3 linked regions of the Drosophila melanogaster genome follow. The protein of the gene in region 3 interacts with the protein of the main gene of each other region in a pairwise test. Each region holds a gene or a part of one and is shown on either strand. Other genes may lie near its edges. The genes, in order: Vsx2, tj and scramb1.

Region 1 (3,756 bases), on a different chromosome or scaffold from region 3:
ATGCGAAATCAATAAAAAAAAAAATAATAATAATAAGACCCCAAAAAAAAGGGTCCGGAAGTGTAGGGGTAAACAGATTTGAAATCAAGAAATCAGATTCAATCTACTCATATATGTATCTACATATCCACATAAGTTGAGTGAGTGCGCAGTGAAATTGGCACAGTGAATCAGTTGCAGAGCAATGGAAATCGGTGATGACGATGATGATATTTCAACGCTAATTAAAATAATAATAACAATAATAACAGCTGCCACTTGAATCTGCAAGATTATCTGCAGAGCCTCGCACTTTTCACAGTGAAAGAAATTTGGCTAAACGCTTCAGGATTTTGTTATTAATGCCATTCCAGATATAGTTCACAAATCCAATGAGAAATATAACAATTTGAAGTGCTTATGTTGTTAATCAACTGCTTACTTCTGGCAGCCAGCAACTAGTTCCTAGTTTTTTACCGTGTATCCAATCCCTGCACGGCTTTTCATGCCTTTCTGTTTATCTGCCTTCACTGTCATCGCTCCAACTTCGTATGATATTGCCACTTGCAAATGAGCTTTGAATCGAGAGAGACAGCAGGTCGACTCGAGTTCACTGTTAGTGTGTGGGATTTTCTTGCAGTGTGCGTGTTTCATTGCCTGTGCTGATCGCCAAACAAAGGCGCACCTACAGTGGCACAAAAGCGACCAAAAACCTACTCGAAAAGCATACCAAGCTTATTATAAATTGATTCGGATTTCCACTGATTCTAGAATTTTATTTAAACAATATGAAAACTAACTATTGTCGTTAGTGTGCCCAAACTATTGCAACAATTGTGAAGCCCAGTTTTTGCTATGCTCAAACCAGAGTGCAACACACACACAAACACTCACACACACACATCCACACACAGTGCAATTAGCAGCTCAACTTGAGTGGTGGTGCTTTGGATTGGAGTGGCTTCGGAGGCGGATTGCCGGATTGCCGGATCGGTGGAGCGGTGGTGCGGATGCGGGCGTTGTGTCGTTTGCAGTGGGGCCAAAGCTGATTTGGCGGACGATGGACCGCTGATTAATTCCTTTTTTATGCTAACTAAGCGGCACTCCAGACACCGATTCGCCCCACTGTGTGTGCGTGTGCGTGTGAATCGAATGTATCTGTATCTGAATCTGAATCTGTAAATGTATCTGAGCATGTGTATATGTGCGCCTGTGTTGGTGTGTCTGGCAGGTGACAAAACCAGTTGCGATTGCTAATTGCGTTTAAGCTTTGATTGTCAGTGTAAATACATCGAACAAAAGATTTTTAAAATCGCTATAGCGAAATATATGTAAGTTAGCTACGGCACTTTTCAACTTTCCCATGTTCAGTATATGCATAAATGAAAAAAATATATATATCTGTGTTTTACTAACTGCAATTAACTGCAATTTGAGTGGTTCGCTGGCGGGGACATTGGCTTACCCTGCGCGTGCAGCAGCGGGTGGTGCGGATGGTGGGGGTGGTGGTGCTGCATCGGCGGCGGCGGCGGTGGCCCGCCAACGGCTCCGTGTGGGTGGTGCGGGTGGTGGTGTGGATGGTGCTGGTGCTGATGCTGATGATGATGGTGCACCGCCGCGGCCAGTTGGTGGGGCATAAAGGCCGCTGCCACCGCCGCATGGGCATTGAAGTAGGCCATTCGCGAGGCGGCCGCCATGGTCATTTGGTGGTGCTCCCTGTACTGATGGTGGTGCGGCTGGTGGTGCTGCTGCTCTTGTTGCTGCTGCTGCGGCTGCTGCTGTGGCTCCGAAACGCTCGTTAAATTGCCTTCGGCCGCATTTGTTGGTGTTGCTGCCGTAGCTGCTGATGTTGCTGCTGTTGCCATTGTGGCATTTGTTGTCTTTGGCGGCGTTGGCGTTTGGCGCTCTTTTGCCACCGTTGCACCGGCAGTTGTCGTCAGATCGGTTGGCGCTTCTGTGGCCGCCGCCACCGCCAAGCCCAGCAGCTCCTGAATGGCAAATGGCGAACGCTGCGGCATTTTCGATTGCTAATATTTCGATTTACGTCTAGATATTGCCGTTGTCAAAACAAATCGCTTGAAAACATCATGCAGTCCCAATTGAGAAACCCAGAAAACAAAAAAAAAAACAAAGCAAAGGCAAGTTTTGCAATGTTGTAAAGACTACGCGAAATGGGATTTGCGAATGGAGGTTTTGAGATTTTGCGCTGGCACGCGTCGCAGAAAAACACACAACAAATTCGCAATAATTTCCACGTTAAACTGTTGCCTGCGTTAATGTGCACCAGGAGTTTTGTCGTCGCAGTTGCTGTTTCTGTTTGCTGTTGCTGTTGCTGTCGTGCTGTTGCTGCCGTTATGTTGCTGCTGGTGGTTGGCTTTCGACTTGGCTTTGCATTTCGCTTTGGATTTGGCCAAGGAGGCATTCAGCTAACAAACGGTAAACGGCCAGCGGAGCTTTGCTCTTCCGAGGACCTCAAATCGCATGGCAAGCGCAGCAGCAACATTTGCAGCAGCAGCAGCAACACCAACAGCAGCAGCAACAGCAGTAACGGCGGCAACGGCGGCAAAAGCAGCGCGCCGACAGCGACGCTCGCGTCGACTGCGCTGCCCGGCAACGGTAAATATTCAGGGGCGGTCTCTGTCGCACGCTAGCCGCACTCTTCGCCGCTCAGCGAGTGCGAGGGAGTCAGCAGCATATGGGCCTTCCCCTCGGCAACATGGCGCATGTGCGACATCCATTCGCCGTTAGAGTGAGGAGAGCAGCAAGCGCCTTCCAAGCACCATCTAGCCGTGCTCTTCTCGCACACGCGTAACCTTCCAGTTTTCCCGCGAACTTCCAGTTCGGACCGAAACGCATTAGTGTTGGTGCGCTGCTTGCCGTTGTATTGGTGCCCGATTGCCACAGTGTGCGGCGCCCATTTTGTGTGAGTGAAAGAGAGCCAGAGAGCGCAAGAGTGGGAGAGGGCATGGTCAACAGGGCTGGGGTGGCGCAAAAAAAGGCGCAAGAAAACAACTATTTCGCAGACCCGAACTCGAACTCGGAACTCCAACCGCTCTCCGTTCAATGAAGGACGCCAATTTATGGCCCAAAAAACGAGCCACCATTCGGTTTCCAGCTGGTAGAAACTACTCACTTGTCGGCCGCCTAACAATGCCTTTCCCTTCCCCAAAAAAAAGGCAGTCTAATTAAAATTTTCGCCAAAAACTTGTACTATTGAAATGCGTAAATTAGCATTTACACCACGTCCTGTGTGCATGAGTGTGTGCGTGTGTGCCAGTGGGAGAGTCCTTGCTGCGCAGTTTTGCAGGATTTCAAGAGATTTTGGGGTCGTGCTATGTGGGTTATTGTTCTCGGAGAAATGTCCCGAAATTCGGCAAAATAATTCGGCTTGATTTCGGCAGCAGTCGAAAAGTAGAGCTTGTAATGGACTTGCAAATTACTGCTAGGCAATTGAGGGACTTACAATTAACTCGGTCCCGAAAGGGATCTCCTACAAAAGGCCATACACAGATAGAAAAAACGTGTTGATATTTAATTCTCAAAAAAATATATAAATATATTTTGTTACGCATCGATTATATTCTATATACACGCATTGATTTCTATTTAAAGAAAATAAAGACACCAGCAATTGGAAAGCCACGATCAGTGGCAGGCAAACGGGTCTTTTGGGGCTTTTCTCACGCCCCCACACAGTGAGCTCTGCCTATGGAGAAACCCACGCGGCAATTAGACAATTGAAATGCCAACGCTCACACGGCCATCGCAGCGAAATCG
Region 2 (3,756 bases), on a different chromosome or scaffold from region 3:
GCCGCCCGCTGCAGACGCTGCATGAGGGCATCCCGCTCCTGGCAGACCCTCGAGTACTCCAGCTTCAGGCGGTGCAGATCCTGGTTGAGCACCCGGTTGGCCTTCTCCAGTTCGTGGCGCTGATGGAGTCGCTTGGACCGGCAGTTCTGGGCATAGCCGCGATTCTTCAGGGTGCGTCGCTTCTGCTTCAGACGCACTACCTCCTCCCGTGGGCAACCATGGAGCCGCTTGTTCAGCTCCCGCACCGTCAACGTGGTCAGCATGTCGTCATTGAGGCAATCCTCCAGCGTGGCATTACTGTAGGCACCCGAACAGGTTCTGGGCGACATGTTGTTCGAGGATCTGGTCGAGCTGGCGGAGAGCGGGCGGCACGGCTGAAGGGCAGCCCGTGTGATGACGCAGGAGCCGCCACCCACGCTGCCGGGTCCACCACTCCCGCTTCCACTGCCTCCTCCGCCTCCGCTGCTGCCACTCCCGTTGCTGGGCACTTGGGGCAGACAGGTGGGCGTCAGGGCACCCGAAGCACTACCGTACGAGTTCGAGTGCATGTTGATGGGCGTCAGTTCCAGATTGTGGAAGTGGTGGTGATGGTGGTGCGGATACTTGCTCTGCTGCAGCATCACCTGGTGGGGATGACCGCCGTGTCCATGCGGATGATGCTGCGCCTGCATCAGCGGCTGTCCGTGATGGTGGTGATGAGCTGCCGCCGCCTGCAGGGCGTAGTCCCGCTGTCTGTCCCACTCCTCCGCCTCCTCCTGGGAGCCCGGATAGGGCAAAGGCCGCAGATCCAGCGGCTGCTGGTCCGCCCGTATCGAGTTGGTCAGCCACATCATGTCATGGCTCAGTCCGGCACTCACCGATGCTGCTCCGGCGGAGGCAGCAGCTGCGGCGGCGGCGGAGGCGGATACGGATACGGAGCTGCCCGGTGTCCTCGCATAGTGGTGTGCGTAAGTCTGAGCCGGACAGCTGCTGCTGCCCGTGGGCGAGCCCACTACTGGTGGCGTTTCCGGCGGCGTTGAGGGCACTCCGCCCGGAACGCCCGCTCCCGAAGATGTGTTCACCAGAATCGCCTGTCCGGGCAGCGGACCATACTGCTCTGGTGGCGGAGAGAGCGGTTGCAGGCGCCGTTCGTCCATGTGCCACTGGTGATGGCCGGAGAAGGACCTCAGCTTGATGTGCGGCGATGGCGAGACCTCCACTGCTCCGGCGGGCTCTGGTCCGGACAGCGGCAGCGAGTCCGGGTCATCGTCCGGATTCGTGGGATCGCCGTGGATTGTCGTCCATTTAACCGCCACCGGCTGCGGTGGACTGTGATCCTCGCGCTTCACATGGCCCAAAGTCGTGACCTGGGACGCGGCACCGGCTCCATGCGATTGGCCAGCTCCATTTCCGCCCACCTCCAGGTGGTGCAGATCAAACTCCTGAACGTACGTGTCGTTTATGGTGGGATCTTCCATTTTCATTGGATCGACCAGGGACCGGAGAGGGTCGATTACGGGTCTCACATGCAAGGGAGTGACCGTGCTGATTGGTGGGTGGTGGTTAGTGGGTGGTTTCAAAGGTCAACTACGCGATCGGGGGTCACGGAACCAGGCACTGGCGCTTTCGGCCTGCGGCTAAGTTTTATCTTGATCTCAGGATTTAGGTTACGTTTTTTTTTGGGGTTACCCCAGAATCTGTTAGATATTTACTTCGATGCCGGTTTCTTAGATTTCGTTGTAAAAGATTGGATTGCTTATTTATGATTTAAAATGTAAGTATGCTTTTATTAAAGCGATCACTATCCGCACTTTGGCGCTTAATTCATTTGTAAGCTCGCTCTCTTTCCAATTTTGCTCACTAATTTCGCGAACGCGCTTTTCGCGTCCAATGTGAAAGAGTTAACGGTGGCGACTGAACTCCGTGTCCGTTTCAACTAAGGTCGGACTGAATCTGACTGGAGGGTGGCTCTGCTCTGGAAGCTCTGCTCTGGATGCTCTGTTCCCTTGATGATAACTGTTAGAATGGCAGCGCAGCGCGCGCACACCCACACACACACACCCATTCCTTTTCCCAACAGCCGACAAACAAAACGACTTGCCAAAACCAAAAAGCCGACCAGCCCAACAACAAACAAAACCGAGCTCGAACGCCATTCGCTGATGCTTTTGCTTTTGGTGCGAGGGAACTCCTGTTGGAAACGTGGAAATGACGGTTCTAGAGGAAGGAAAGAGGCGAAAGGGCGGGGAGGCACTTGTCCGCAAGAGAGAGAGAGTGCCTTTCGTTGTAGTTGTAGTTGTTGTTTGTGCTTTTGCCGGCAGCTGCTGCTCTCGCGCACAACAACAACAAAAGTCAAGCCGGGAAAGCTTCGTAGATTCGATGCACTGCACAGTGGGATAAAAAATTGCAAATATAAAATAATTTCATTCGTACATTTTGACAAGTTTAAGTTGTCTAAATCAAATACAATATTTTATAGCTAAAGGACTAACTTTGAACTTTGAAAAAGCGATTATATTTTGATCTGCTTTAAATGTTACAACACTTGAATATCTATACAAAATTCTATTAATTTCACGTTCTTTTTTAAGTATTTTAAAGAAATTTAGACCTTTTCGTGGAAATTCAATCAATTCTTAGCTAAAATCGCTTCCCTTGACTAACAATCATTCTGGTCAAAGAACATTACTTCACCAATAACAAATATGTTGATGTTGTTAACAGTCTAAAAAAGCGACTTAACAAGCCAGAAAATTGACTGCATTGCCTTATAATTGGACATGGAAAAACATATTTTATGCATTATGCTATATACATTATTATATACTATATACATTATTAAATTTTATATATACTGATGAGCTATTTAATGTTTAAATTTCGGAACATGTAGCACGTAAGTAATGTTTCAGTAAGCCCTTGATACCCAATACCTCGACCACTGTGCAAGAGCACAAATCTATGCTCTGGGATTTCACTTTGTTGGTGGTGGAATGGAACCGTTGGTGTGGCTGCTCTGCTGCTCGGTTTATTGTTTGCGTTTTTGAATTGCCATGGAGCGCATAAAAAATGGCACACATAGACACACAGACACACTTTATGCTGTCGTCGACTCCGCCCACTTTGCCACTGTGTGCGCGTGTGTGTGTCGGTGTGGCTCTCCCCATCTGCGAGTGTGTTGGTGTCTGAATATTTATGAGCAACTACCACGGAAATTCCCGCATAGCCCCATTTGCCGACTTCCAGTCTCATTTGGCTGGCCATCCACACGAAGTCGGTGATGGAGGTGGAGATGGATGTGCCCATATGTACATACATACATATGTATATCCACATAGGAAAGTATATGCAGGAGTGGGTCGCACAAGCACAGGCACATCCATATCCACGTCCACATCCACGTCCACTGTTCCATTTTCCAGTGCATAAGTCAATGGGAGATGTTTTAGCCGAGATAAGTCGCTCGATTTGTTTTGGCTCGTATATAATACACTGCCCACTCCATGGGCATGTGTGTGTTTGCTTGGGCCAAAGGATTCCATGGTGCACAGGTGCATTTTTATGCTGATCCAGCGGAAACGGAGTACAGAACTTAGGAGCCTCCGACGGCCCAACTTGGACACGGGGCGCTCTTGTTTTACTTTAATTTGAACCCCTTTTTTCTGACTTTTTGTTTTGAGCAAATGTTTTGTCTTCGCTGGCCAAACAGATTGCTCTGATGTAATATTGTTGTGGGATATCGAAAGGCTTCTGCTTTGTTTGTGCAACAAGTTCTGG
Region 3 (3,756 bases):
TAACTTTTTTGCATAACCTTTGGTATTGATGTTGGATTTTGTAGCAGTGTAGGGACCCGCATGGCTGTTTACCATTGCATTATGTTGGCTGCTTGCCGCCTGCCTGATTTTTTGAGAGCCTCTCCTGCACTGAACCGTTCAGCGACGGCCCTGGCCCAAAGGTCATGGGTGGGGCCAAAAGGGGCTAAAAGGTGGTGGTGGCACAAAAGGGGGCTGGCCTGGCAACAACTGCTGCACTGCTGAGCCCGGCTTTTGTGCCTTTGGTCGGTTGCCAACCGCAAATATGTTCGCGTTCCCGGTCCCCATTCTGAATGCGAATTCTCAGTCGGTTGTTTTATTTTCGCATTCTGCATTTGCTGCCATTGCAAAGTCAACTAATTGAATGTGCTAAACTCACCCACACAGCAGCAGCACAAATATTGCGTTATATGGCGCATTAAACGCTCAGTTCTGGATTTCTTCCCTGACCCTGATGAGTCCTTCTCCAGGACCCCTCTAGATCCACTAAATCCGCCCTGCACAGAAAGAAACAATAGCTTTTAGGCAAATTATATAAGTCAATTAATAATATATAATATATTCCATTATACATTCGTATAATAGTTCTAAAATTGTCAAGCTGTAAATAAACATCACGCAAACGTAGTGAAAATTTTATTGTGCAGGATTTTGTGTTCCTTTAAGGAATATATTTAGTATATAGAAATATATCAGTGGACATTGGGTTCTAAGTTTATAGCATCGAGGACGAAATGTGTGATTTTGCGCGGTGTGTGGGTGGTCCTCCACCATGACGGTAATGCTGATGACGATTCCTCCATTTCTCGCTGCATTTGTATGGGTAATTACCGTGGTGTGTGTGAGTGAGTGAGGGACGTCTGCTAGATGTCCATGACCATGGGGTGGAATTCTGCTCGCAGTTTTTTTCTATATACACGGTTTTTAGCATTTTTTTCACATTTCAACAGCCCGTCTCTTTCACTCTTACAACAGTCGCTCACCCTGCCCACATTTTTTCCATCATTTTTTTTTTTGCGTTTTACTTGCGTCGGAAACCGCCATTTTTTATGCGCGCCAACTACGCCGCCCTCTCTATTCCTCTCTCTCCCTTTCTACCACGCAGCCCCTCTCTGTCGCACCCTTGAGGTGTAGGGGAGGCACACCCTCTCAATGAAAATTTGCGCATTAGAAAAAATGTGGACTGTTCTCTGAGCCAGTTGTGGCATACAAAATGGATTTATTCAGCATTTTTTTTTTAACTATACGATTTTTGTTTCTATTTAATTTGGACAGTTGTATTTTTGATATAGTTATAGTATAAGTAAAGCAAGAAAAAACGTATATTACAAAATGTAAATTTAAGCAATTTAAAAACATAAATTAATAATCAAAGGAAATGCCTTATTTACTAAATAGCTTCTAAAACATAAATTTTAATTATGCTGAAAACAATAATAATAACTAGTTGAATAAGTAACTTTATGCGAATTCTTATTATTTTAATAAGCATATGTTAAAGTTAGGGAAACGCTTTCTTTAAGCATTTAGTATATAAAACAATATTATTATTTATTTATTTTTTAGGAAATATATAAATACCGTTTAAATAAACTAATAATTTCAGAGCGTAGTAGATTAGTTTTTAAATGTAACTGATTCACATTCAAATTTCAAGAAACCAAGTTACAAGCTCGTAGGTTTGAGTCTTTACTGGGCGTTTCAATTTTGGATGGTGTCTTTGCTTGCTGTATTCTGCTAATAATAGAGCAATGCTGTTATGAAAACATTTCATTTATACATGACTTTTACATTGTCAAGTAAACATTTTGTTAAAAAGATTGATGGCGCCATCTATTCAATTTTAAAATATATTTAATATTTGTTAATTTTAATTCATATAACTGAACTTTGTATTTAAAGTTATGCATTCTAGGAATTATCTAACTTCTTTCAAACCAGAGAAATTGTCCGCTAAAAACTTGGCATATTTAGCGTGTAGCTGGTATTTTTTCGCTCTTCAGTCACGGTTACACTCCGAAACCCACCTGATTTCGCGAACTGCATTACTATCGAAACTACTACTGTACTTAACAGAAAGTGCGTGCAAAACAAATACAACATTGTTGCGATTTCGTTGGGGCCGTGGCCGCAACAATTCCCCTCCAGTGCAACAACAACGCAGCACGCGGAGAGCAGAAGAAGAGCAGGAAAAGAGGAAAAATCCGGGGAAATCCCACGAAATGAAGAGTAACGTCAATCAGGGCGGTTACGCCCCACCCGGTTTCGGATCCGGATTCCAGCCAAATGCTCCGCCCGCCGAAGGATTCGGCTACCCACCGCCCACTGGGGGCCACAACGCCCCCTATCCCCCCGCACCCGGTCATCCACAGCCGCCGCCGCCCACGAATTACGTGAGTTCCAAAAGTGTCCCGCTGTAGCCGATGAAAATGCTAGGGAAAGTGGGTGGTGTAAAGGGTGCTTCTTGTACAAGCACAACACAACCATGACGTCATGCCAGTTGGTATTTGCTTATTTATAAATCAACAGACACACAGTCAGTTTGCTGTGGAATGAAAGAGATTCATTCGATTTGCACGCGAATCCGTGGAATCGGCGGTTTGATAAACACAAACAACTGAGAACTCAATGTACATCCATATGTACATACATACTGTAAAACCAGTAATGCAGACTGGATAAGCAAGTCGAAAGCTTAATTCTCTTGCATTTACTTATTTACATTTACGTATGAATGTTTTTATGGCTTTACTATTTTCACTATGTTTTTCACTCATGCCAAAAGAGCGTTTTATTTCCATTAAGTTTTGGATAAACTTAAAATATTACTCATCATTCATGCACAACCGCGTGAAGTTTTCATTCTTATAGAATATTTATTTACTCCATACATTTGCGTGCCAGAGTGCTGATAAGTACAGCTACAAGAATACAAGCCAGAGCACAAAAAACTAATCGAAACGCCCCTGAAATAAGTATTCAACTCATTCTTTAATCAACTCCCGATCGTTGCAGGGGTTTATGCCAGGTCCTCAGCCAGCCGGATACGCTCCAGTTCCCCAAATGCCGCCATACGGAGAAGCTCCGCCCTACGGAGCCGGACAACCACCTTACATGGGTGGTCCAGGTGGTCAGCCACCTTATGCGGGTGGTCCAGGCGGACAGCCACCTTATGTAGGTGGTCCTGGTGGACAGCCACACTACGGAGGAGGAGCACCACCGCCCCAGGCCTTCGGCGGATATCCTCCCGGACCAGCAGGACCAGGAGGACCACCAAACGCATTCGGCGGTTATCCACCGGGACAACCACAACAGCCCATTGTCACGCAACCGGGAATGGGACCGGGAATGGGTCCAGGGATGGCCCCACAGGGCGGACCAGCAGGCAAGTAATCAAAAACTAGTCTGTAACATAAAACAAATGTTCTACATGTTGGACTCACATATTTCTACACAAATCAGGGTGTTCAAATCATGGCACGAGACTTTTATCGCTTTCTGCTTCCTTGTTAAAATTATTCATTCCATATCTGAGCTTACTTCTTATATAATTTTACTACACAAACCGCTGAATCAAAACAAGATCGCATCTTTGTGATGTGTCGGTGTGTCGTTGCCCTGCGATTGAGATAATGTCCAATCAGTTGTCTTAAGATTTCTTCGGGTGCAGGCACTGAACCCATCGTCCCAGATAGAGGTAGCTCGTCAAGATCGGTGTAGAACAAAGGTTCCCCCAGA

The links.
Region 1: the proteins of scramb1 (region 3) and Vsx2 interact in a two-hybrid assay, tested with the Drosophila melanogaster proteins (one large-scale study listed by BioGRID).
Region 2: the proteins of scramb1 (region 3) and tj interact in a two-hybrid assay, tested with the Drosophila melanogaster proteins (one large-scale study listed by BioGRID).

The regions. Positions count from the first base shown.
Region 1 is NC_004354.4:5,557,966-5,561,721, forward strand, and holds the start of Vsx2 (visual system homeobox 2), read right to left. Parts: upstream 2,219-3,756; 5' UTR 1,998-2,218; coding exon 1,445-1,997; intron 1-1,444.
Region 2 is NT_033779.5:19,462,463-19,466,218, reverse strand, and holds the start of tj (traffic jam), read right to left. Parts: upstream 1,953-3,756; 5' UTR 1,464-1,952; coding exon 1-1,463.
Region 3 is NT_037436.4:10,223,515-10,227,270, reverse strand, and holds the start of scramb1 (scramblase 1), read left to right. Parts: upstream 1-2,030; 5' UTR 2,031-2,240; coding exon 2,241-2,411; intron 2,412-3,033; coding exon 3,034-3,403; intron 3,404-3,756.